Danio rerio: one gene and its partners. The protein of the gene in region 1 interacts with the protein of each later gene in a pairwise test. Links are inferred from orthologs where the notes say so. Each region holds a gene or a part of one and is shown in the gene's direction. Other genes may lie near its edges.

Region 1 (8,594 bases):
AATAGCTTTAAGTAATTTAATGTGTTATGCATTTCAGTATCAACTTTTCTTTTTAGAAATGTTTATATATAATATATCAGATAATATAAAAATTCTATAAAATACAAAATGTTTTTGGCAGGTTATTGTCACAAAAGATATTTGAACCATTTTCTAGCATCCAATGTTCGACATATATATATATATATATATATAAAAATCAATTTTGTATATTTAATTTGATACAGACAATTAACATTTAGCATTTTTAGCTTTTTTTGGCTGTTTTAGCCGTTCACCTAACAGTCCAGCGGTGTGATAAACAATTAATATTTCTAATAAAACAAAAGTCTCTCTATCTCTCACATCACACACAGAAACAAACACACACAAAACAGTATACAATATATGCAAACACAAATCCATGTATGGCGTGCTTTACTGTCGTTTTAAAAAGGAAAAATATAATGTAAAGTGAACTCATGGAGAAAGCTGTATTGTTGTGACACCACAGGGGGCGCTGTTTACAAAGGAATGCGAGACAAAAGTATTTCATTCAGCTGAAGACTTTTACAGGGTTGAATTGTGACACAATTAAATTGCAGAAACAATGAGTTTGCCTTCATTTATATCAGTGGTTCTCAAACTGTGGTACGTGTACCACTAGTGGTACGCGGGCTTCCTTCTAGTGGTACGCGGAGGAATGAAATATTACATGTACATGCTACATATATTTCAAAATTTATCAAAAATGATGTATATAGTATGCCATATATTACACATAGCCTATATTTCTAAGGTAATTTGCCATGTTTTTTTTTTAACTGTGCAGAGTTGTAGCTGCTTTACTGGGCCTACTACACTACTGTATTTCAATTCTGCTCATTTTGGTGGTACTTGGAGAGACAATTTTTTTCTGAGGCGGTACTTGATGAAAAAAAATTTGAGAACCACTGATTTATATAACATAATCTAAACAATAGAACTACAACAAGTAAATCAAGAAACATAAGAAAAATATAAGGAAAAAATAATAGCCAAAAAGTATGCGGTAAATAAGATAACTAGGCCTACTTTTGTTTATAGTATTAGCATACATATTGCGCTATTATTATGTCATGATTAGTGCTAAAGCTCTTCAGCCATATGAAACCTGACATTTTGATTCATCGTTTTAGAGATTTTTAAATATTTGATTAAGCATTGCAAAATACAGTACAATTGTAAAATGGTATTAAAACTCAAACAAGCTGTTTTTTCTATCTTTTTAAAATGTCATAATTAAATTAATTCCTGTGATGACAAAGTTAAATGGTCTTTCATTAATCACTAACGTCTCATAAATCACTAACTCTGATTTGCCAGAGAGACAGAGAGAGAGAGAGAGATGATTTTCTCAAGCCACCATAAATGTGATATAATAAATATTATATTATTTATATTTACACACACACACACACTTTTTTTTACTGCTATCTATTGTGTGTACTGTTTTTTATTATATATGTTACTTTTTATGTAAACTCTATAAATGATTTGGCAATTCATTTGTAACATTTACTTTGACTTTGGCATTTCTCACAACACTATTTACATTTGCACAACAATTAATGCATTTCTCAAAACAATTAGTCATTTGTGGACATCCAGCCTGATCTCACGAGAAAACGTAAGTATTTTAGGTTTTGCCAGTATAGTGGCTAATTCGTACGAATTCGCAGGAGTTCAGTCGTACGAAATTGTACGAATTTAAAAAGGAGGCGTGGCACCTAACCCCACCCCTAAACCCAATCGTCATTTGGGGGTGAGCAAATCGCACTAATTAGATCGTACGAATTCATACGAATTAGCCACTACATCAAAATGTTACGAATTGCCGTGAGATCATAGTAGCAGATTCTCATTCCTTCCAACAAATTGCAAATGCTTTTGGACATGCATCAATTGCTTTAATACAACACTCTGTCTGCTGTTTGTAAAATTATAATTTGCTTATGTCATGTCAGTCAAAATTAACTAAACTTGTAAACGCTGAATAGTCATTCCACATAAAACTAATAGTCCTCATTTCATTACTTGAGTCCTGACATACAAAAATGTTGAACTAGTTGTCAAAATCTGTAAAGCAAAATTTGTTTAAAAAAGAATTCCTTGAAAATGTCTTCCAAATTTAACAATTTTATGAACGATTTACAGACCTATGCATGCTGTTCAGTATACTGCAATATTGTTTACAGTTGTGCACAGGTCTACTCAATGAAAGTTTATGTTTGTTGTAAATAAGGGTGTATTTATTCTTTCGCACAATGGTGTGAATAAATTAGAATTACAAAAAGCATATGCAGTAAAAATATTAAACATTCATATTCAGTGTCTTGCACTCACATACCTCACTAAATGCAGTGATGCATCTTTACATCTCTACATCTTTACTGTAGTTTTCTAATGGCTGTGCAAATAGTATCTAGTGCTGTCTTGAGCATTTTCAGGAAGTGTCACCAAAATCTGACTTATTCAGCATTGGAAAATATTTACAGAGTAAACTCTCATAATGAAAACATGACAAAGACATTTGACTATCATGTTCATAAACAATGGTGGCAGGACTTTTCATCTTGATGACACTGACACTTTCATTGACGTGAATACTTGCTTTTGGGGAATGAGCTATCCATTTTGAGCAAGTGACTTACTTTTGCAGGTTATCAAATAGGTTTTGCAGTTTGTAATAATTGTTTTGAGAAATGTATCAACCGTTTTGCAAATGTAAATAATGTGAGAAATACACCAAAGCCACTGACAACATTAAATGGAATTGAGAGAGAGAGAGAGAGAGAGAGAGAGAGAGAGAGAGAGAGAGAGAGAGAGAGAGAGAGAGAGAGGTGTAAACCATGACCATAATGATGATAATACATTTCAGACAGACAGACAGACTGGATGGATGGATGGATGGATGGATGGATGGATGGACGGACGGACGGACGGACGGACGGACGGACGGACGGACGGACAGACAGACAGACAGACAGACAGACAGACAGACAGACAGACAGACAGACAGACAGACAGATAGATAGATAGATAGATAGATAGATAGATAGATAGATAGATAGATAGATAGATAGATAGATAGATAGATAGATGATGTTCTTTTGTAATTTTTGAACATCTATATAAAATACAAATAAATGAAAATGTTGATCTGCAAAAACATTCATCAAATTGTTTGGATGTTTGTTTTCTAACAGATCATGTGACATTGTAAATAATGATCAAATCAAACAAATAAATTACATTTTAAAACAAAGTTTTCACTATTGACACCTTTATATTGATATAATATTTATCTTTTCACTCTCTTTTGAACAAACAAATGCAACTTGATGAGCTAAAGACCTTAAAAATCAGCACTATTAATCAGAATGAAATGAGTTTATTGAGCATGCTTCATAGTTCCACAACAAATTGATCACATCAACTTAATTGTTTTCTCAAATTTAAGTAGGTTCAACATAAAATAATTAGGTTGTCCCAAAAACAACTTAAGAATTGTGTTGTTTCAACTTATTTTAAATAAGTAGTTTAAACAAGCAACAAAAGTAATTTGAGTGATCAGCCATTTTTGATTGCATGATGTATAATAATCCTAATATTATATTATATTATATTAATTATATTATATTATATTATATTATATTATATTATATTATATTATATTATATTATATTATATTAATTATATTATATTAATTATATTATATTATATTATATTATATTATATTATATTATATTATATTATATTAATTATATTATATTATATAATATTATATTATATTTTATCATATTATATTATATTACATTACATTACATTACATTATATTATATTATATTATATTATATTATATTATATTATATTATATTTCAACTTTTCGCCATAGTAGGATTGGTAGACGCGCTTCCCTGCTTTCCCCAAACTCAACGGGGAGGTGAAGCGGCGGTACTTCCTGTCGCTAGTTGCGCGTGGAGGGAGAGAGAGGGAGATGTAAAGATGGCGGAGCTGCAGATGCTGCTGGAGGAGGAAATTCCAGCGGGTCGCAGAGCGTTGTTGGACAGTTTCACCAACCTTGACAGAGTCGCCGAGTACTGCGAAAGTAACTACGTACAGGTGAGCGGCGAAGGAGTACGCATTGTATGTGTTTGTGGAGTTGGGGAGGCTGGAAGTGTGTGTATGTGTGTGCGGTGGTTGTTGATCATCTGTTGAGGCTCAGCGCTAAGTACGTACAAACAACCGCGGCTTGTCCGTGTTCAGATTAACTATAAAAGTTTATGACACTCGTAGGTGAGGCTTTAAACTAAGCGGTGGCTACTTTTGGAGGGCTTGAACTTCTGTGTGCAGTGATTTGAGCGTGTAGGTAGGTAGTATTCAAGTTACATGATCATTGGGGAAACTTTGCTCTGTCAATAATGAATGCGAGTGAAGCAGCTGACAGCACTGTTCAAAACAACGCGGATAAAATTCAAATCATTTAGTCTTGTAAACGTAGACCTATATTGTGAAAATAGACGACACTTAGCTGATTGTAACCACTTTGAAGTGAAATCTTGACATGCTGTTTGAAGCATATTGTAAGTCTAAACATTACCTTTAGATTATTTTTTGTTTTTATTTTTGTCTAAAATTTCAGTCAGTTTGTAATCTGTAAATAATTCGTATTTTATATGCTTTTTGGTACATTGCAATCATAACTGTTTTGGTGCAATCAATACTGGGGTGATAGTGTTTTTGACATGATGGTTAGTAGCATATCATGTTTTTGGATTAGTATAAATTTCAAAGCAATTTCTTTAAGTGCTGGATAATTGAGCAATTCCATGCAAATATCAACCTTCCCATAAAAAATAGGTTTTTACCAAAATAGACATACAGTTTCTACATTTTTTTTTGTGTAAGTATTTTACAGTACTTTAAAAATACTCAGAAATGTCTCTGTCAATGTTTTCAAACTATTATATTTGATTTACCAAAGTCACACAAGTAGCAATTTTACATCTGTCACATCCATAACGGAGAGGCATCTTATCCATAATAAAGCTTTTCTCTCAAAAATGTCAAATAAAATGAAATCAATAATTTTTGTTTCATACTGAGCCAACTCTTATCTCTTTGATTAACATTACTTCTTTTGGGTTGTACAGTTAGTAGTAGTATGTTATACTGTAAACTCTGCTGACTTTTTTTGCATGTTAACATTTAATGCATGTTTATTTTCTTCTTTTAAAATTTAAAATGTATTTACAGATTGATATTTTTCTGTTCCCATAACGCTGTGGTTAGTTGTTTTGGAAAATATAAACAGATGTTTCGATATTATGTTAACATATACTTTCTATGTGAATTTATGGTTTGAGTTTTTACTACAATTGTCACATCCATGATTCTGGAATTGCTCAATTATGTTTTTTTTATGGGTGACTGAAGAGCCATGCAAATCTTTTTGTCTGTTTTAGATTTTTTTTAAAAATTCAATGGTAAAATCTTAATTTAATCTATATCTCCTGTACACTTTTTCTAAACATAAAAATGCAGATAGAAGCTGTGATGACATTAAACCCAAGCATACAAACTTAATGCAAATGAATTAAGCAAATTGTTAATTATAGAAAGTAAACTTTATTTTGTAGCCTCCATTTTTTCCTGTAATATTCACAATATTCTTTGCACATCTGCTCATACATTATATACTTTACATAATTGTAAAGCAATTTCTATGCCTTCATCTTTTGACTTATATCCAAAAGCAGTTTTTGTGATTCTCAGCACTGATGTATGCAAACTCTCACTTAGGAGTTTGTTAGGAGCAATATTTTTTTTAATAGCAAGGGCCAGTTTTTAAATATTTACATTATGGGATTTTAGAACAGAGTTGTGAAGGAACAAGAGTAATGAGAATGTCATTGAAGCAGACCTTCTGTCACATTTTCCATCCTGTGCTCTTGTAAATTGTGTATTTGGACATGGAATTCTCTGTTCAGTGTGATCAATGAATGTCTATATGGGTAACTAAACTATGCCACCATCTGGAGCTCACTACATATAGGCAGCACAGCATACAAATAATGCTCTTCACATGAAGACTACTTGCGTTTTATTATCCTATATTTAAGCTAATGATGTTTTATGATTTAAAAAAAGCACATAATAGGGATGGGATGATAACCGTTTTCAAGGTTTACTGTGGTTTGAAAAAGTCAGTTTTTTTTCTAAACCGCAAATCTTTTCTGTTATATCGTTCCTGCAATATATATACAGATTTTTTACTTGTTAAAGACTTGTAACTTCATCCAAGCATGCTTTGGACCCGAACAGTGTTTTTCACTGCCTTATTTATATCCAATGAAAAGAAAGATATTCAAAGATGCATTTTCAAGTAAAGAAATCTGTGCTTTTGAAACGAATGAAGAATCAATGATTTATTTTAATTATTTTGACATATTTACTGTTCCAAAATATTGAAATATATTGTGTTCAATGGGGAAAAAGTTGTTGTTGTTACCTAGATATTTAAAAATAATCAGTATACTATAATGCCAATATTGCTATATTATATTAATATTACTAAGTCAGAATATCTACTATTTTTAATCCAAGGTTAGCACAAAATCAGTTTTATCACATCATTTTTTGCTGGGTTCCAGGACATGTTGGACTTTCAGGCAATGAGCGAGCTGATGCAGCTGCTAAAGATGCTTTGAAGCAAGTAGTGATCAAATGCCAAATTCCTCCATCAGAGATGAAACCTTTTATCAACGCTTGCATTTTAAACAAGTGGCAAAAGGAATGGGATGCATTAGAAAACAATAAATTACATGAAATCCAACCTGAAATTTCACACAGAATTTAAAGACATTTTAACAATCGATTTGATCAAGTAGTTTTTACCAGATGTCGTATTGGGCATACGAGAATACCACATGGTTTTTTGCTCCAAGGTGAAAACCCTACCCTTACTGGACTGTCCTGCTTTTACTAATTCCAGAAGCCTTTTTTATGAAATGAACTCTTTGAAGGACATTTTTAACAAAGTGAAAACAGAAAAGATTTTAGAATTTTTATCATGTATTAACACAAAAAATCTTATTTAATTTGTTTTTTTGTTTGTTGATTTTTAAATTGTATATTTATTGTTGAAAGATTCCTGCCATGAAAATAGCCTTGGTTGCTGATATGGCATTAAATAAAAAAATACATTACATTACTAATCCAAGGTTAGCATATCGTCACAAACTGTATCTTATATTAGTTCAATTAGTTAAAACACCTGCAGCAGTCTTCAGTGCGACATTTGATCAATTTAATGAGCCTTTAATGAATAAAAGTATTTATTGATTCATTTGTTACTTGGAACAGTGGAACTGCCATTAAAAGTCATTGAATAATTGTCTGATTATACACGTAGCTTCAAAAGCAGCATGTGTTAATGTTATTTAGTTATATATTAAAAAGGAATATCTGGGTTGTCCTTACATCGGAATTCAATTTCAATCGGTACTGAAATTTAAAAAACGCCCATTTCCATTTGGAGTCTTTTAAAGCGGCGATTCATCAATGGATCGCTCTTATGTCAGCTTATAAACAAACCAGCTGATCGATGTGACTTTAAAACGCTCCAGTGTCCCTCTATATGTGGTTCACTCAGTGAACAGTGGTGAGTTTGAGTAACCGATGACCATCACAGCCAGTCACAGTCATTTCTGTTGAGCATGTGAAAATCAATGGAAAATCTGTGGTTTAAAAACGTGCTCCACAGCTACTAAATGTTTGCTGGAAATAGACATTTTAAAAAATCCAGTATACTGATTGGTATCAAATTCCAGTATCGAGGCAACCCTATAATAGATTCAATAAACGGACAGTTTTTTCATCACATAAATGTAGAACAGTGGCTTTCTGACTACCATAGTTTGAAGCATGACATTCTTTGTAAGGTTAATGTCTGCTTATAGAGAGGTTTATTACACCCAAAAATCATCAGTATAACTCAGGTTTTGAACCCAAGCTGGAAACCAAAGGATCAGAACGAAGTTGCAGTCGGTGTTACATGCTTGTACAGATTTAGCTCTGTTAATTAAAGATATGTCAAACTCTTTGGCATCATCACGTCAGTTGCTTATCTTTATCAGACAAATCATAAGCTTGCTTTCATTGCCTCGTGGAAGATTTCTGGGTCTGTTTATTAGAGTCTGTGAACCTCAGCCTTTGGATCTATTCCTGAAGTGCCAGCACTTGGATTTTAGAGTGAAAGTGTTTTATTTTTTATGTTTTTTTAAGCACAAAGTATACCTCTGTGTTTAGCAGTGTTCTGCACACTGTCTTCTTGATGCTCTTCCATTATTAGGATTGTATAAAAATGTCCACACACCATTCAAGTGCAAAGTGTTATTTCGACTGTAGCAAGCTTGTCCATCAATAGTTGAATATACTTTAAAAGCTATGTGGACACTAGATTGTGTGGGCACAAGATTGAGTGGAACATGACAAGGGAAGTATACGAATGCTTTAAGGTGTGTTTGTAGCGGGGTCTATACTAGGTTGTCCAGCTTGTTTTGATTATCTTT
Region 2 (8,451 bases), on another chromosome or scaffold:
TGGGTTTTATGGGTATAAGCTGATTCACAATAATAGCTTAAAGTAATAATACTCATGAAATTGTACCCGAATGTGCCTGCTTTTATCTTCAGCTGTTTCTTCATTGAGCTTTAACTATTTTATATGTTCATTTCAGGCATGACGGAAGTCAAAGAAGAAACCGAAGAACTACATGTGAATGAGAAACCTCCTTATCAAGAACTTTTAAGCTGGCCTAAAATTGAAAACAGTTTATCACTTATAAAAACACAAGCCAAGAAACCTGTAATCTGCCCCCAATGTGGAAAGAGCTTCGCACATAGAGGACACCTAAATGCTCATGTTCGTGTCCACACTGGAGAAAGACCATTCACCTGCTCGTTCTGTGGGAAGAGCTTCAAACAAAAAGAGTACCTGAAAGATCACATGCTAATTCACGGAAAGGCGATCTCATGTCCTCAGTGTGGGAAGAAAATCAGTAATGAAAAGAGTTTGAAAAAGCATAATCTCCTACACACGGGAGTGAGGCCATTCGGCTGCGACCAGTGCGAAAAAACATTTGTTTCAGCTTTCCAACTAAGAAGACATCAGGCGGTTCACTTGACGGAAAAGCCCTTCTCGTGTTCCTCATGCGGAAAGAGTTTTACTCGGATGGATTGTTTGAAAGAGCACCAGAAGTTACATAATGGTGTGAAGGAGCATGTTTGCTCGGTGTGCGGCAGCTGCTTTACTAAAGTGTACTATCTGCAACAGCACCAAAGGATCCATACTGGAGAAAAACCGTACAAGTGTACACAATGTGGAAAGTGCTTCACTCACCGAGCATCACTGGCTACACATGAAAGAGTCCACACTGGAGAACGACCATATCACTGCACTTTATGTGGAAAGAGCTTCAGCCAGTCTGGTGGTCAGCAGACTCACATGAAGAAGCACTGCTCTGTGATGAAGAAGTGCATTACATTGGTTACAGTACAATAAATCAATAAATGAGAATATTTAGGGTCAAAACATTTTACTTTTTAATCAATTGAAGGCAAAATTATTAGCACTTTTTTTAAATCTTTGCATTTTTTCCCCTAATATTTCATAATAAGTAATAAATATCACTTTGGACATTGATTCATTCATTTTCCTTCGGCTTAATCCCTTTATTCATCAGGGGTCGCCAACCTATCCAGCATATGTTTTACACAGCGCATGCCCTTTTAGCTGTGACCCAGTACTGGGAAACATCCATATACTGTCATTCACACTCATACACTATGGCCAATTTAGCTTATTCATTTAATCTATAGCGCATGTCTTTGGATTGTGGGGGAAACCGTAGCACCAGGAGGAAACCCACGCAAACACGGGGAGGACATGCAAACTCCACACAAAAATGCAAACTAACTTAGACGGTAACTTCTTGCTGTGAGGCGACAGTGCTAACCACTGAGCCACTGTGTCACCACTTGGGAAATATAAAAAAAATTTAAGTTTCACAGGAGATAAAAATTTTGACTTCAATTGTACAATTATATATATGTGATGAACCTGAAATAAAATTTCAGCAGTTATTTATTTTAAAAAGGACTAGTTGCTCAATACAATCAGGGGACTTGGAACTATTTTTATAAATGGAAAAATTTAAAAAGTAAAAAGTGTGCTTTTCACAAATGGTTTATTGAAACATATTAGAGCCTCTAAATGAACAACATGTTCAAAACTTTACTGAAAATCCTGTTGTACACAATTACTGCATGCCTTAAGTTCTCTGATTCATGGTGCATACATTGTTTTAAGCAAATATAAAGTGTTTAGAATTGCACTTCCAGGCTGTGATGAACATTTTTTTTGCTGTGTATTGCACACATATACACACACTACTGGTCAAACGTTTGGGGTCAGTAGGACTTTTAAATGTTTTAAAATCAGCTTATTCTCCTGACGAAGGCTGCATTTATTTTATTTGTAAATACAGTAAAAATTGTAGAATTGTGAAATGTTATTGCACTATAAAATAACTGTTCAAAAGTAGTTTATCATGTAATTAATTAATTTATTCCAGTGATTTTAAAGATGATTTTTCAGCTTCATAACTCCAGTCTTCAGAGTCACATGATCCTTCAGAAATCACTCTAATATTAATTATTATTATTAATGGTGATTGTGATAAAAGCAATAATGACTGGAGTAATAATTTAATTTGAAACTACATACAGTAATAAAAGCAGTTATTTAAAATTTTAATAAATGTTTAGCAATTTAACTTTTTTACATTTAATAAATGCTGTCTTGATGAACAGATTAATGAAAAAGAAAGGAAAAAACGGACCCCAAACTTTTAACAGATAGTGTATATAATGCTATAATATGTAATGATTATTTTTTTAATGAATGCCTGTTTCGATGCAACCAGGTTTACATGTTTCATCCATTAACAAAGAATTTGAATCTCTTCTTAATAAGAGGATTTATTTGGGAGATAGATTAATGCATGACAATCGATATGTGTCAGCACTTTATGTATGTATATGTGATTCATATCACATGATGTCAGATTTTCATATTACTCTTTGTGCATATTATTAACAAATCCTACAAATGCTTTACCACCATTTTGGGCCTTTGTTTAATACGTGTAACCTCTGATTAAATCTTGCTTTTGTGTAAATGTTAAAAAAGCCAACTTTTCTTATTTACAATGCTTGAAATAGTATTGGTGTTTTGTGCTGATGACAGTTATTTTGAAAAGAAGAAAAAGAGGAACCTTCAATAAATTATTGCACTTTTTGCCACTCTCTGTGTCTAATTATGAGAATTTTTTTTATTACTATTATTATTATTATTATTATCATAACAACATTTACATTATATCACATTACATGCCAAGGAGCGAGACATAAATGTGTCTTTTAAACAGATTCACAGTTATTGCAGCTTTCTTATTAGTAGATTTAGAAATCAAAGACATACAGATGTAGATCTTCAAGAAAAATCTGAAAGGTTTACGCTTACAAAATGTACATTTGTGTATAACATATTTAGCCAAAAATATAACAAGATTAAATAAAAAATAAACATCTCGATGTTCATTCTGATGCTTATATCCTACAATAACATTTTCATATTTCAACATAACATCAGGGATTATACCACAAAACATACCTAATACATAAATAAGCGCACACAACAAACGTTTTCACGCATAAATCAGCCCTAAATTGTAACAAGAGTATTTTGAATAACATGTAAATTGTTTTAGCATTTAATATATGAACAAACACAAATCAACGAAAATAGTATACATCTCAACAGCAACTTATCTGCTCGTAGTTCATTGTGAAATGTATTTCACAATGTTTTGTCGGCACATTTGTATATTGACAACATTTTAAAATAGAATATTGTGTCAAAATACATCGAATTGTGTTTTTTAATGAAATAGTAATACTTACTTTATAATACACTCGAGCTTTTAATCAACATTCAAACGTCACTTCCCAGTTCCCATCCAGGAAGCGACGTCTGGAAGTAAACACGACACGTACTCGGGTTACTGCAACATTTCAGGCTTTTTCTGCCTTTAAATATATTTATATGAACATGAAACTAACCTAAAAGCACATTCAGGTATGCTTGATTCACAGTTTATTTAACCTATATGTCACGATGTGGGATTTGATACATTATTGTTATACATTTAAACCTTGCTAACTAACTAGCTAAAGACAACCAATGAACTATAATTAACGTTGGTCGGTAACGTTATTTTAATACACCGAACATAATAAGACAGAAACTAGAAAAGTCAACTGTCAGTTATATATGTTTGTCTAATCATTTGTCTCATGATTTTATGTCCAAGTGCTCTCTTATTATGCATAATTAATAAAAGTAGTAGTTAGTAGTAGTCAGTATTTTCCGAACTTGCCGGACAAGAGAAGTGCCAAAGACCAGCAGAAACAAGACATTTTTTGTTATTGCTATTATATTTATTTGTTAGTACAGTCCATTCCATAAAGCGTGAATATTGTTCATAAATAGCAGTAAATAATAGTCAGAATTATTTTAAATACACCAGACAAAAACAATCTCAAAGACTAACAAAAACACAAAATAGGCGTGTTTTTAATAAAGTGTGATACAAACCCTAATGATAATGATAAAACCATTGTGACATAGGGTTTGGCGATCTAGTGTAAAATCAAAATTTGTATTAATTGAACATTTGAACTCAATTGCGAATAATGATTACGATTATTTATTGATTTTTTGCCCTTAGATCACTGATAATAGTTCACTAATATGCTCATTTTATTTTATTTTTTTTACAAGTAAGAGATGCCTCAATGCATTACATGTGGGTGCATTACTTGATTTAAAAATAACTGAAGGAAACACACTCTATGTACTATCTATGATTATTTATTGAACATAAAAGTTGAAGAACTGAAATTAAAACACATTACCTAAAACCAACTTTTCTTGTATAAAAAAGTGAAAATAAACAACTTGCACTTTTGGAAACAAATTAAATTGTTTAATGTTTTTCATATTAAAACTAGAAACTAAGCAGTATCTCTTCTAAATAAAATAATCATTGTATGTCATGTAAATTATATTTTAAACAGTGCATTTCTTGCATCTTCTGTAAACAAATATTTTCATGTAAATAATAACTTTACATGTAATGGAAAACATGCAATCTCAAGGAATCTCTGGCACAGTTTCCAATCATCATCAATGTAGTGCAAAGCTCAAAAATGGGTTCATTGTCCTACTTGACAAGAGATCAGTTATGGCTGCAAAGTGGCTGCAGAAGTATAAATCAGCTTTAACAGAGTGGGGTCACGTGACTCCACACCCAGTAGGGAAAGTAATTGGAAAAAATGGACCTGGAAAAATTAGATCAATTATAGGTTCTGAAACGAGAAATTGACCAGCTTTAGTGTGAATATTGTTCATAAATAGCAGTAAATAATAGTTTGATTTATTTTAAATATACCAGACAAAAGCTCTCAAAGAATAACAAAAACACAAAATAGTTTTAAACATGTTTTAGTGAAGTGTGAAACAAACATTAATGATAATGTTGAAACTATTGTGACATGGATCCAATATAAGATCCATATATGAAGAGTTCAGATGCAAAAACCTCTAAATGCTGTCTGAAAATTTATCCTAAAATGTTCTTTTTTTTCCAGCCTCCTATGTGTAAGGTGAGTTATTTTACTTTAAAATCAATGAAAAGAACTTGTTTGTGACTATAAAAATCAAATTACTCAGCACAAGAGTTGGAGAGAAAAACGCTAATTTGAGAGGAAAATAACAAGATGTTTTTGCATCTGAACTCTTTATATTAAGAAAGATGCTGCTTGATTCATATTGCCCTTCTTCGTTTCACAATCATAATAAATCTGTGTTTACTTAGCAGGTGGAGATCATATCGGAGAGTATGAAACCTGACTGACGGTGATTAACCATGGAGAAGTTCGGTATGAGCTTTGGTGGAGGCCCAAGCAAAAAAGAACTCCTGGAAACCATTGAAGTGCAGAAGAAGCAGCTTGTAAAGTATCAGACACGCTTTAAAGATGTTGTCAGAGCTTACCAAAGCCTGCTTAAAGAAAAAGAAGCCTTGGAAGCCAGTCTGAAGGTTCTGACCATTTCTCAAGAGGTCGATTTAAGTCGTGTTGATAACCTCTCATTTGGTGAAGCTTCAGGAAGCAGAGCTTTGCCTTCTGATCTTGGAGATGACCGATGTTCACTTCATAGTGAAGACAGCCTGGATACAGCAGCCTCTGCTGAAACAGCCACTAGCGTGACGAGCAACAGCACTAAAGGAGACCAAATCGAGGACGATCAAAGCTGTGCTGTAGATGGAGCCACAGCTGGGGCTGTTGTACACACTTCACCCCAGCAGTCTGAGGAGGCAAGTGGGTCTGAAAGTGGCGTAAGCACCAGCAGCAGTGGATGTTCAGAGCCGACACCACAGGTGGCAGACACTGATCGCCGGGTCATCCAACTTAAGACGCAGCTGTCCACACTGACCAGTTCCCTGGCCACTGTTACCCAAGAAAAGTCCAGAATGGAAGCTTCATTTCAGGCGGACAAGCGGAAAATGAAGCAGGAACTGGAGGAGCTGCAGGCTAGGCTGGAGGAAGATAAGAAGCAGCACCAGGCCGAGCTTCAAAACCTGCAGGAGCAGTTTGCGGAGAGCAAAGCAAGAGTCATAACCCAGCAGCATGAACGGGAGCAGGAGCAGGGCGATCATGCGCTCATGCTCCGAGAGCTTCAGAAACTCCTGCAGGAAGAGAGGGGACTGAGACAGGATGCAGAACTCAAACTGGAGGACGCACGGGCGACGCTGGCTGAAGCCATGCAGGCAGCAGACCGAGGGCTAGATTATGAGTCGCAGCTGAAAGAGATCATTCAGGAACGGGATGAGCTGAAGAAGAGCCTGAAGGCTGCAGCGGTGGAGAACAGTAAACCTGACCCACGGGTGGAGGAGCTTCAGCAAGAGAACGCAGACCTCAAAGCTCACTTCAATCAGCAACTTCAGCAGGAAATCAGAAAGGTACGTTTTAAAGAGGTCGTATGTTACTGATTTGTGATGGAAGTCCACATAATGCCTAATATTTGTTGTAGTCATAATAAATACTGGCAATTCTCTGTCAAAGAACAGATTTTTTTTTACAAATCTTGAAGTGCTGACTTTTTTAAATAAAAAAAGTTACAACCTTCTGTTGTTAAAGGGATTGTTTGCCCAAAAAGAAAAATTCTGTCATCACTTATTCACACTTGACTTGTTCTAAACTAGTTATTTTGTCTTGTTTTTTTGTTTTTGTTTTGTTAAACACAAAAGAAGATATACTGAAGAATGCTAAAAACCTTTAAACTTTTTATTTCTTTTAGTAGGAAATGCATGGAAACATGAAAAACACTATGAAAGTCAGTGGGTGCAGGTTTCTAACGTTCTACAGCACATCTTCTTTTGTGTTAAAAAAAACAACTCAAACAGGTTTGTAGCAAGTCAAGGGTAAGTAAATGATGACGTGGGAACTATCCCTTTAAAAACAGGTGAGATAAACCCAGAGCAAAAAAGAGGCATTTATATCTATATGTCAAGTTTACATAAAGAATGCATTTACTTTAGTGCAGTAATTTTCATATAGCTTATGATTTACCTTGCTAGACAACATATTTTAGTCAACGAGAAAGGTGATAACCAGTTTTAGACACAATTTGGATAAAATAAGCTGATTTATAAATGCCAAACAGGTTAAAAAGGCACTAAAAATGTCATGATTGATGGTGGGTTTGTAACTAATAACTAAAAATAAATAATTTTAACTTTTAGAAGGCAACTGGCATGATACAGTAACAATTTATTTTTTTAGTCTTACCAAACCAGTTATATATGCATAGGTGAATTTTACTCACAGGTATTCTATGGGTTTGTATAAGCACGCCATGATTTTGTCAAGTACAATGCAATCCTGGATTAACATCAATGTTGATCATGGAACATGATTTAGAAAATGAAATCCATACCTATTCCCTACCCCTAAACCCATAAAACTTAATACCTAAATAAACTATCAGAGGGAATAATAACAAAATAACAATCATGTAGATGTGCATAAACCTAAATGTAAACCTAAACTTAATATAAACGGTAAATCTATCTCTGATTGGAAGGTTGTTCCAAAATCAACATAGATGTTAATCCTGGAACATGTCCTACTTAGTAAAATCAGGCTGGTGGTTTGTTTACAATGACCCTGGTGCATATTATTCTACTTGGTATTCAAATTACCAACACTATGATTGGTTAATGCCTTACTTTACACATGTACATATAAAAGAACATGGACATTAAACAAGGAATTTCTCTCTATACTACAGTTGCCTGAGTTCCAATGTTGCAGAAGTAGCAAAAAAAATTTCATCCATATGGTGATGTACATCCAAGAATAACTGATTACAATGAATGGATAAAATGTAAGGCAGGAACTTGATTCAACACATTTTGAAGCAGAATCCCTTCAGGAGTAACACTGGACACGCATGGTCTTTTAGTTATGTAAACATTCTTATTTTTTGTCCGCATATTTAAAGGTGGCACAAGCAGATGAGCTTCTCCGAGAGCAGGCGAAGATGGAGGAGATCCGAGTTGCCAGTCTTGAGGAGAGAGTATCTGAGCTCTCTGAACTCTTGGGTGCTTGCGAGAAGGCCAGACAGAAGGACCAACAAAACACTCAGAGGCTACGAGAACGCATCCTTCAGCTCGACACAGAGAACAAAACCCTCGCCATGGCTGCAGTCAACAGGACAACAAGCTCTGATCTAAACATGGATGACATGAACTTGAACGTAGACGCGTTAAAGGACAAACTTGAGAAGGTGAAGAAGTTACTCCTACTGGCTGCACAAAGATCTCAAGACCAGAGCCTAGATATTGAGAAGCTGCTGGAGGGAGGAGAA
Region 3 (8,468 bases), on another chromosome or scaffold:
GTGAATAAATCTTAGTGACTTTGTTTACTTTGCTTTTACTGTACCAGAGTACAGTATATTGTACTAGCAATGATACTGCAATTTGCTGAACAGCATTTCTCACATCACTAGATGTCTGTTGTCAAGCAGGGATCATAGACGACCAGGCACCATATATTGAAATGTGGAACAATTGCAAACATTGACCAAACTAAAGTACAGGTTCATTATGTTTGGCATCTTTAGGTGAACAAAATGGTCATCTGAGTTCTAAGTGAACCTGGATTAACCATATCATTTTTGTTTTTGATCTGGACTAAACAAAAAGAGAACCAAAAGGCAACTGTGAAAAGTTAGTCTGTTTTGCTACCTGTTGGTCTGTATTTTTGTACACTGGAACAGCTCCATCATGTCTGAGTCCTTGGGATAATCATAATGGGCATTTCCAGAATTACCAAATGTGGATAATCTAGGAAGAAAAGGAAAAATGTTTTTAAAAGCTTTTACAAGCACGAAAGCAAAAAAAGTACAAAGCAGCTTCAGATCATTTTTCCTTGCACATATAAATGTGTCCTGCTTTTATTCTGAGTCAAAAATAAATATTTTTCACAAAATTATATGAATTAATAACATAAACACTTAACCTACATTATATAAAATTACATTTATTATTTTTCTATTTGAACCATATATTCAAATAAATAAATTAATTAAAATGCATTAAATTAGTTAATAATAAATAAATAAAAAACAAACCGCAAATTTTTTTGTTTGTTTTTTTCATTTGTTAAAAAAACCCTGAATGCTTATATCATATCACCAAAGGTTTAAAAGTGGAAAACATATTCTGACCTGCATTTATCAAAATAAATAACGTTATCCTCAAATAAATGCTTTTCATTTGAGCTTTCCATTAAACAAAAACTGTATCAATAACCATTTCTAAAAAATCTTATACTGTTCTTAAATAGGAAATCAGTGCATTTGAATGATTTCTGGAGGATCATGAGATGTGGAAGACTGGACACATTGTGCTGGAAGTTGAGCTTTGCCATCACAGGACTGAACAGCATTCTTAAATATCACAATGCAAACACATACTGTAAATTGTGGGAAGATTTCACAAATGTACTGTGATTTTTCAATTTTTTATAAAAATAAAAGAAACCTTGTAAGCATTTTTTTATCAGATGGAAAAAAAATAAACATTTAAATTAGAGATGTCAAGATCAATATATATATATATATATATATATATATATATATATATATATATATATATATATATATATATATATATATATATATTTGTTTTTTTTTAACACATATATTGTTATGCGATGTCACAGAGTTAGACCTCTTTCTTAACTTCACACAGAAACAGCAGCGTTGCCTGCTGAGTATTTTAAGATAAGGTGCTTTTTGGTTTAATATTAGATTTTTTAAATATTTAATGTTGCACTTAAGTCCAAAAGTGAAGAATTTATGTTACTTATTACTTGATTGTTCAAGCTACCTCACAGAAGTGATCTTTGTTAAATGTTAAAATACAGTGAACTAAATAAAAAATAAGGAACATACTGGATTTATTTCTTTGCTCTTCTTTATTTTTTTAATGCATTATAAAAGTATCAGATCGAGTTTCGGTATTGGCAGATACTCAAAATCAAATGACTCGGAGGCAAAAACAAAAAAAAAAACGTGATCTGGACATCCCTTATTTAAACCACTTCAAACATGTCATGTTCATAACTACTGTACCTGAAGTAAGGATGGCTCGGTGACATGGTAATCTGCAGAACCTCACTGGTCATGTCCAGCTCAGAGAAAGCCTCTTTAAGACTGTCCGACTGCAGAATCACCTTGTTGGTCACGTTTGTACTGCAAAAGTCAAAGTCTATGGGCTCCTCGGGCTCCTGTGTGTTAATCTTGCATACAGTGACCACACCACCTTCTTCCAGGAACAAAGTTAGTGGATATCCATATCCATTGTAGCACATTCTCAAGGCGGTGCACACACCTTAATGATAAAATAAAAACAAAGATTATGTTACATTTCCCAAAAAAAGACTGGATCACAATTGTAATACACACCTGGCACTGTGCTTCCCCCGAAGATGGTGAGGCAATCGAGAAGAACAGTTAAGTTAACCTGAAAGCCAACTGCATCCTCTTTGATGATGTATTCTTGAAAGATGTCAGCCTGATGTCAGAAAATACACAAATATGCTTAAAGATTCAACTGTTCTCAGCAGAAAGTGTCTGAATTTGTCTGCTAACATCAACCTGAATGAATGCATTGGCCTGAAGGCATTTGGAGTCCTCAACTGTGACTTTCAACCCATTCTGTGTTGCATTGAAGATGGCATGATCCTTGAAAGAGATGGCTTTTAGGATGTTGGACAGATTCCTTGCATTGTCCAAACTGGCTATCAGGATGTACTGGTCAACATCGGATTGGGACTGAGTTGACAGAGGCATGTTATTACATCTGTAATGACATTTCAAAGTAGAAATGTTAAATAAATAAGTAGTAAATATTGTATACAATAAATTCACAGAAAAGTTAAAATATTAAATTTAATTAAAGAATGTAGGCAGTATTTGGTCCAATAGTTTACAGATAACAATCGTTAAATGGAAAAAAAAAAACATCAAATTTGCATATCAGATTGAAGTTTTAACATTTTCATATTTGTTTTGTACTATTTTTTCTAACTTGTTTTGTAAGTAAAACTAATGTTGTTTAAATGTGTGCTAGAATGGCTACTATGTTCTATTTTGAATGCAAACATAATCATAATTGTCAATTATAATACTAAAATATGGAATCCATAACAATTAAAAACAAGTTAAACACAGAAAAATGTATTGTCGCCGTCTTTTATTAAAAAAACGAGATATCTGAATGTTAATTTTTCTAATGAACTTGAAAATGTCTTTAACAGAAACATGAACAAGTTTCTATCAGCTGTTTACAAATTGTGACGAGAATTAATAAACATAATATTGGCAACTAGTTGTAAGTTACTAACGTTACTAAGTTAGTTAGCTAAAATGGCGTCAGGCCGTGAAAGGGCGAACATTAAACATACACAGTACATGTTCCTGTTGCTGAACTCACCTGTTAGATATATGAAATATGACAAATTAATATCATTTTAGAGTTTGGCGCCCTTAAATTGTTGCCATTAGCTCTTCTTCTTGTGATTTTGACTAAGTTTAGCTTCCCATCAGTTGTCTCGCGCGCGCATATGGGTCTGATGCAGAACTGCAGGACGAGTTCATACATAAACGTTTACAGTATTAGGAGGGGGTAGGTTTTTAAAGTTGGCTATGAATTTGTGTTACTACACTATTGCAAAACAGATAACATAACCGCTTATTCAGTTATTTATGAGACATAAGGGTGTTTATTTAATTTAAAGAAGGCGAGATCTCAAACATAAATATATTTAAGATGCACTCGTACACCCCTCCGTTTCATCACGAGTTGGACGGGCCGTCGCCAGACAGATGCGAGGAAGCGGTCGGTCGGTCCAACAGAAGTGCCACATAACCAAACAAAAGTCAGGTAGGGTTATGACATTTACTAGTTTATTTTACTTTATAAAGTGCCATTTTGTTCAGTAATTGTAAATATTGTATATACAGTTTAATAAGATTGTGGAGTTCCCAGCTGGTTTGTTTGTTTGTTTGTGTTTATCTATCTCAATGGCAACCAGACCATATCAGCAACAAAGCGAATTTTGTGAACAATAGCATCTCTACCTCTTCTTTTAAGTAAACATACTCTACGCTTACGTGGTTGGTGCAATGTAACGACTGTGGTAGTTTCATGTAACGTTACTTCAAATGAACCTGCTACGTTAACTAGCTAATCCGTTAGCTAGCTCATTGTGAATTGGGATATGCTTTATTGCAAGAGATTGTCATGATGGAATCAGATTGTTTTGTTTATCATTGCTAAAGCATTTATCACGTTATATTGTATTATCTTCGTGTGGTGGAATAAAGAGTTGCTTTAACATGTGATAAAAATAAGTTTATATATATATATATATATATATATATATATATATATATATATATATATATATATATATATATATATATGAGAGAGAGAGAGAACTATGATGTGCAATATAATAAAAAAGGTTAGGTTAAAAAGGAGTGTTTACATGATGTCACGGCAAAATTTAAATGCTAGTAAGGCTGTTAAATATTTAGGGCATGTCATTACAGAAGATATGAGTGATAAAAAGTACATGTACAGGGAACGTTTAAAGTTATATGTTGAAGCAAATTTGCTAGGGAGAAAGTTTTCGGAGCAGGTTAAAAGTTAAACCTCTTTAGAACTTATTGCAGTTCTTTATACACAGCTCCTCTGTGGTATAATTAAATAAAGTGTCCATAAGCTCCAGGTTGCATACAATGATTGTATGGAGATTCTCTTAAAAACATAGATGGTGTAGTTAGGCATGGGCCGGTATAGGATTCTGACAGTATGAAAACCATGAATAAAAAATATCAGTTTCACGGTATTAAGATTACTGCTCTGAAATATATTCTTTTTAAATGTCTGGGTAAAAAACTAAAACTTTCCCCCCTTTGAACACAATATTTATTTTTCAAATATTTAGGAGCAGTTAACAAATCAGACTAAAAAGTTCAAATGAATCCATGACTTCTGCTGTCTTTATTTATTTTAAAAACACTTAATTCATTACAATTTAACAGGTATCTTTGAATATTTTTTTCTGTTGGAGATACTGTTGTCCCAAAAAACAACAACAACAAAAAATGTTAATGAAAAATCTTACACATACCTTAGGAACTGTATAGCAGAAAATTATAGCAGTTTTAAAACCTTGACTTTTCCCAACTATGGTATACCTTGAAAACTGTTATCGTCCCATGCCTAGGTGTAGTACAGGTGAATTATTTTGTGATGTAAGAGTTTGATCATTTTTTGCTTTGGATGAGAAATTTGATCTATAAGTTTATTTGTCGATAAGAGAATTCTCAGAATAGCATTTTAATGTTAAACCCTAGGCTTATGGAGGTGCTTTATCAGTCACCTTTAAAATATTGGCATAACTGTATTTTTTAACGTATTGTGTGGTTTATATTGTCTTTTGTACTATTGGACCTAGTGTCTAAAAAAGATTTTATATATATATATATATATATATATATATATATATATATATATATATATATATATATATATATATATACATACATATATACAGTATATATACAGTGAGAACATTAAATATTGGGACATCAACACAATTCTAACATTTTTTGCTCTATACATCAACACAACGGATTTGAAATTAAGACGGTCAGTTTAAATTTGAGGGTATTTACATTCAAATCAGGTGAAGACTTCCAGACTTCAGGATGTAATTGACTGCAAATGATTTGCAACAAAGTATTAAAAAGTTAAAGTTTGATTCATGATTATTATTCTATCCCATTACTTTCGATCCATTAACGAGTGGGAGGCACATATGCAAACTGTTGTAATTCCTACAGCGTTCACCTGATTTGGATGTAAATACCCTCAAATTAAAGCTGACAGTCTGCAGTTAAAGCACATCTTGTTTGTTTCAATTTAAATTTGTGTTTCTGTATAGAGCACAAAATATTAGAACTGTGTCTTTGTACAAATACACACACACAAACAATGTATATGTCAATATAGTTGTATACTGGCCCGGATTGGCTAATCTGGAGAATTCCGGGAGGGCCAGTCCATTTTTTTTGGCCACTAGGCCAAATTTTTTTTTATTGACCATAGCCTCACTCTTTTTATTCATTATTTGGCGCAGCTCCGCTCTTTTTATTTATTTTCTAGCAGCCCCGTGAGCAAAATGCAGCCTGCAGGTTAATGATGACAGCAGCGCCTAAGTGAATATAAGAATTCAAATAATTAATATTAGTGAATATTACACCTGCTCAATGAAAATCAGATGATTCAGTACATTAATAAATCTGACATAACTTGATCAGAAATCTAAAAAGAGGAGAAAAAATGGTCAAATGGTCCGCACGTTGCGTTACAACGCTGCCAACCCGAGTTCGAACCTCACCTAAATAATCTTTTTTTTTTTTTTCTTTTCATTTTTAGTGTTAGTATAATACTGATTGGGTTACTTATGTAGGTGTACATATTTTATTTTTTGTGTGACCGCCCTTACAAAGGACTGGATATCTATAAAGAATTTTGCACAGAATATATATTCGGATATTGCAGGAAAGGACGTTGTAAAGAATAGTGTTGGAGATTTAGCTATCCCTTTAATCTTCTCATATTTATGAAAAACATTTGAACTTCTAAAGCAGCTGTGTCCTTGAAAAAGATTGTATATTGTCATTAGAAACTAAATTAGAAATGACGTTATTTTAATATAGTCAGTCGTGAACTGAGGTGGGCCGGTCTAAGGCTTGAAACTCCAGGGCTAAAAAGCAGTCCCACTCCGGCCCTGCTGGTATATAAATGTTCAGAGCAAAACATCGTTTCAAACTAATTAAATGACATTTTAGCCATGTTGTACATCAGATTAACGCGAAAAAGTTTTTTAGAACATCATTGCAAAAGCAGCAAACTGAATATTCTTAAAATGCATTCTGAAAGTTCAATAACAATAAGTAATTATTACTTATTTTAAAGTGATAAAGCATGTATGTTCATTATCGTTGTGATATATTATTGAATACTGGCACGTCTAGACATTTTACTTTGCAAAATCAACACTGTATTTGTCAGTATTGAATACAATAAAATTATGCATATTTTTCTTTTAACATACTTCTGTTTCTGTATAATTATCAGCCATTATTGAGTCACACAGGCAGGTTACGGTCCTCTGGTCATGGCTAAAGACCCGTTAGCAGAGGCTGGTCTTCATTTTGATGAGCTCAACAAACTGCGAGTACTTGAGCCTGATGTGAGCCAGAAAACAACTGAGCTCAAAGAGGAATGTGAGGAGTTTGTCGACAGTAAGTGTTTTTTATTTTTTAATCTCATTGTGAAGTTTATCTCTCTTAACTGAATTTCTTTGCTTTTTGCAGTCCAGATCAATAACTTCTCCTTTTGCTTTTGAAAACAGAGATCGGACAGTTTCAGAAAATTGTAGGTGGACTTATTGAACTTGTGGATGAACTTGCGAAGGAAGCCGAAACTGAAAAAATGAAGGTACGTTGTTGTTTTAAACTATTAGCAGTGCATATTTGCGTTTTGTATTTATATATGGTTCACCTTCAGGCCATAGGGGCAAGAAATTTGCTGAAATCGGTTGAAAAGCAACGGGAAGCCCAGCAGCAACAGCTTCAGGCTCTGATTGCAGAGAAGAAAATGCAACTGGAAAGGTAAATATGATAATACATCATAATACATCATTATGGTCTGATATTTTTCTTCAGTTCTATTTTTCAGTCATTTTTCAGTTACTGCATGGTAATTTCCAACTTGTTACTTCTAAAAGAGAACAAAAGAAAGAGCATCACCATAAATCTATTACAGCATTTGCATTGGCATGTGCACAGTGCTAGTTAGCAACTAAATACATGTTATCTGCATTACGTAATCAGATTCTGAAAGTTAGGTTGTAACTTGGAATTGAAGTATATAACATTTTAAAATAATGAAACATACTTACATACATACATACATTTTGGACTCCTCCTTTTATCTTTCACTCACAGCAAAGTAACTGTTGGAGGGGCGTGGTTAAGCATATATCACCCAAACTTGTGTAATCAGAGGTGTAGATAGTAAGTGGTCAGAATTTAATTAACGAATATCAAAACACTGAACATCTTTTTCACTGAATTGACTAATTCAGAGCACAGATTAATTTCAGCGTGCTAGCAAAATAAACATGTGGTTACATCAGTTGGTAAGTGAAAAGTTCGTAATCTAAAAGTAGTTGAAATACATAAACCATTACCTAAAATGAACCACAGTTCTTCATGATCATCAGTAATCAGCAATTGACTACAGTTTCAAAGTAATCTGCCCAGAACTGTATGCCGTTCATTTTAGGCCACCAATATTGCTTATGACAAGGGTTTCTGAATGTTGCATACAGCCACTTCAAGTAGTGAACAGCATTGTGTTTATGCTCTGAATTTCTCTTCAAGACTAAAAAGTCTTTTTGTTTTGCAGGTATCGAATAGAATATGAAGCTCTTCAGAAAGTGGAAGCTGAGCAGAGTGAATTCATTGATCAGTTTATACTGCAGAAATAAGAGCACTGTGTTTCCTCTCTCTGCTGGACAGGAAAAATGATGCTATGCATCTTGATTCACATTGACTTCCTAATAAGTGCAAGGTCTCAAACTAGATGAACTGAATTGAGCAGTTATGGCAGACAACAGACGTCTGTTTCAGCCTCAACCTCACAGCATTGAGTGCTTTTGCATGGCCAGTTCCTGGAGGCACATCCTTGTAATCTTTCCAACCATAGATCATAATCT

Evidence for each region.
Region 2: the proteins of abi2a (region 1) and gcc1 interact in binary tests that used the Homo sapiens proteins (3 or more experiments, as listed by UniProt). The link is inferred for Danio rerio from reciprocal best matches to the Homo sapiens genes ABI2 and GCC1.
Region 3: the proteins of abi2a (region 1) and ift20 interact in binary tests that used the Homo sapiens proteins (3 or more experiments, as listed by UniProt). The link is inferred for Danio rerio from reciprocal best matches to the Homo sapiens genes ABI2 and IFT20.

The regions. Positions count from the first base shown.
Region 1 is NC_133184.1:13,876,374-13,884,967, forward strand, and holds the start of abi2a (abl interactor 2a), read left to right. Parts: upstream 1-4,026; coding exon 4,027-4,143; intron 4,144-8,594. UniProt on the Homo sapiens protein: Regulator of actin cytoskeleton dynamics underlying cell motility and adhesion. Functions as a component of the WAVE complex, which activates actin nucleating machinery Arp2/3 to drive lamellipodia formation.
Region 2 is NC_133179.1:20,654,248-20,662,698, forward strand, and holds the start of gcc1 (GRIP and coiled-coil domain-containing protein 1), read left to right. Parts: upstream 1-3,476; 5' UTR 3,477-3,597; intron 3,598-5,171; 5' UTR 5,172-5,186; intron 5,187-5,398; exon of another isoform or gene 5,399-5,401; 5' UTR 5,402-5,449; coding exon 5,450-6,541; intron 6,542-8,085; coding exon 8,086-8,451. Other genes in the region: uncharacterized protein zmp:0000000938, read left to right, coding at 137-960. UniProt on the Homo sapiens protein: Probably involved in maintaining Golgi structure.
Region 3 is NC_133190.1:26,248,377-26,256,844, forward strand, and holds the start of ift20 (intraflagellar transport protein 20 homolog), read left to right. Parts: upstream 1-3,493; 5' UTR 3,494-3,553; exon of another isoform or gene 3,554-3,557; intron 3,558-6,819; exon of another isoform or gene 6,820-6,823; 5' UTR 6,824-6,863; coding exon 6,864-6,990; intron 6,991-7,100; coding exon 7,101-7,186; intron 7,187-7,255; coding exon 7,256-7,359; intron 7,360-8,158; coding exon 8,159-8,240; 3' UTR 8,241-8,468. Other genes in the region: cell cycle checkpoint protein RAD1, read right to left, coding at 350-448, 1,741-1,999, 2,074-2,182, 2,266-2,460. UniProt on the Homo sapiens protein: Part of intraflagellar transport (IFT) particles involved in ciliary process assembly. May play a role in the trafficking of ciliary membrane proteins from the Golgi complex to the cilium.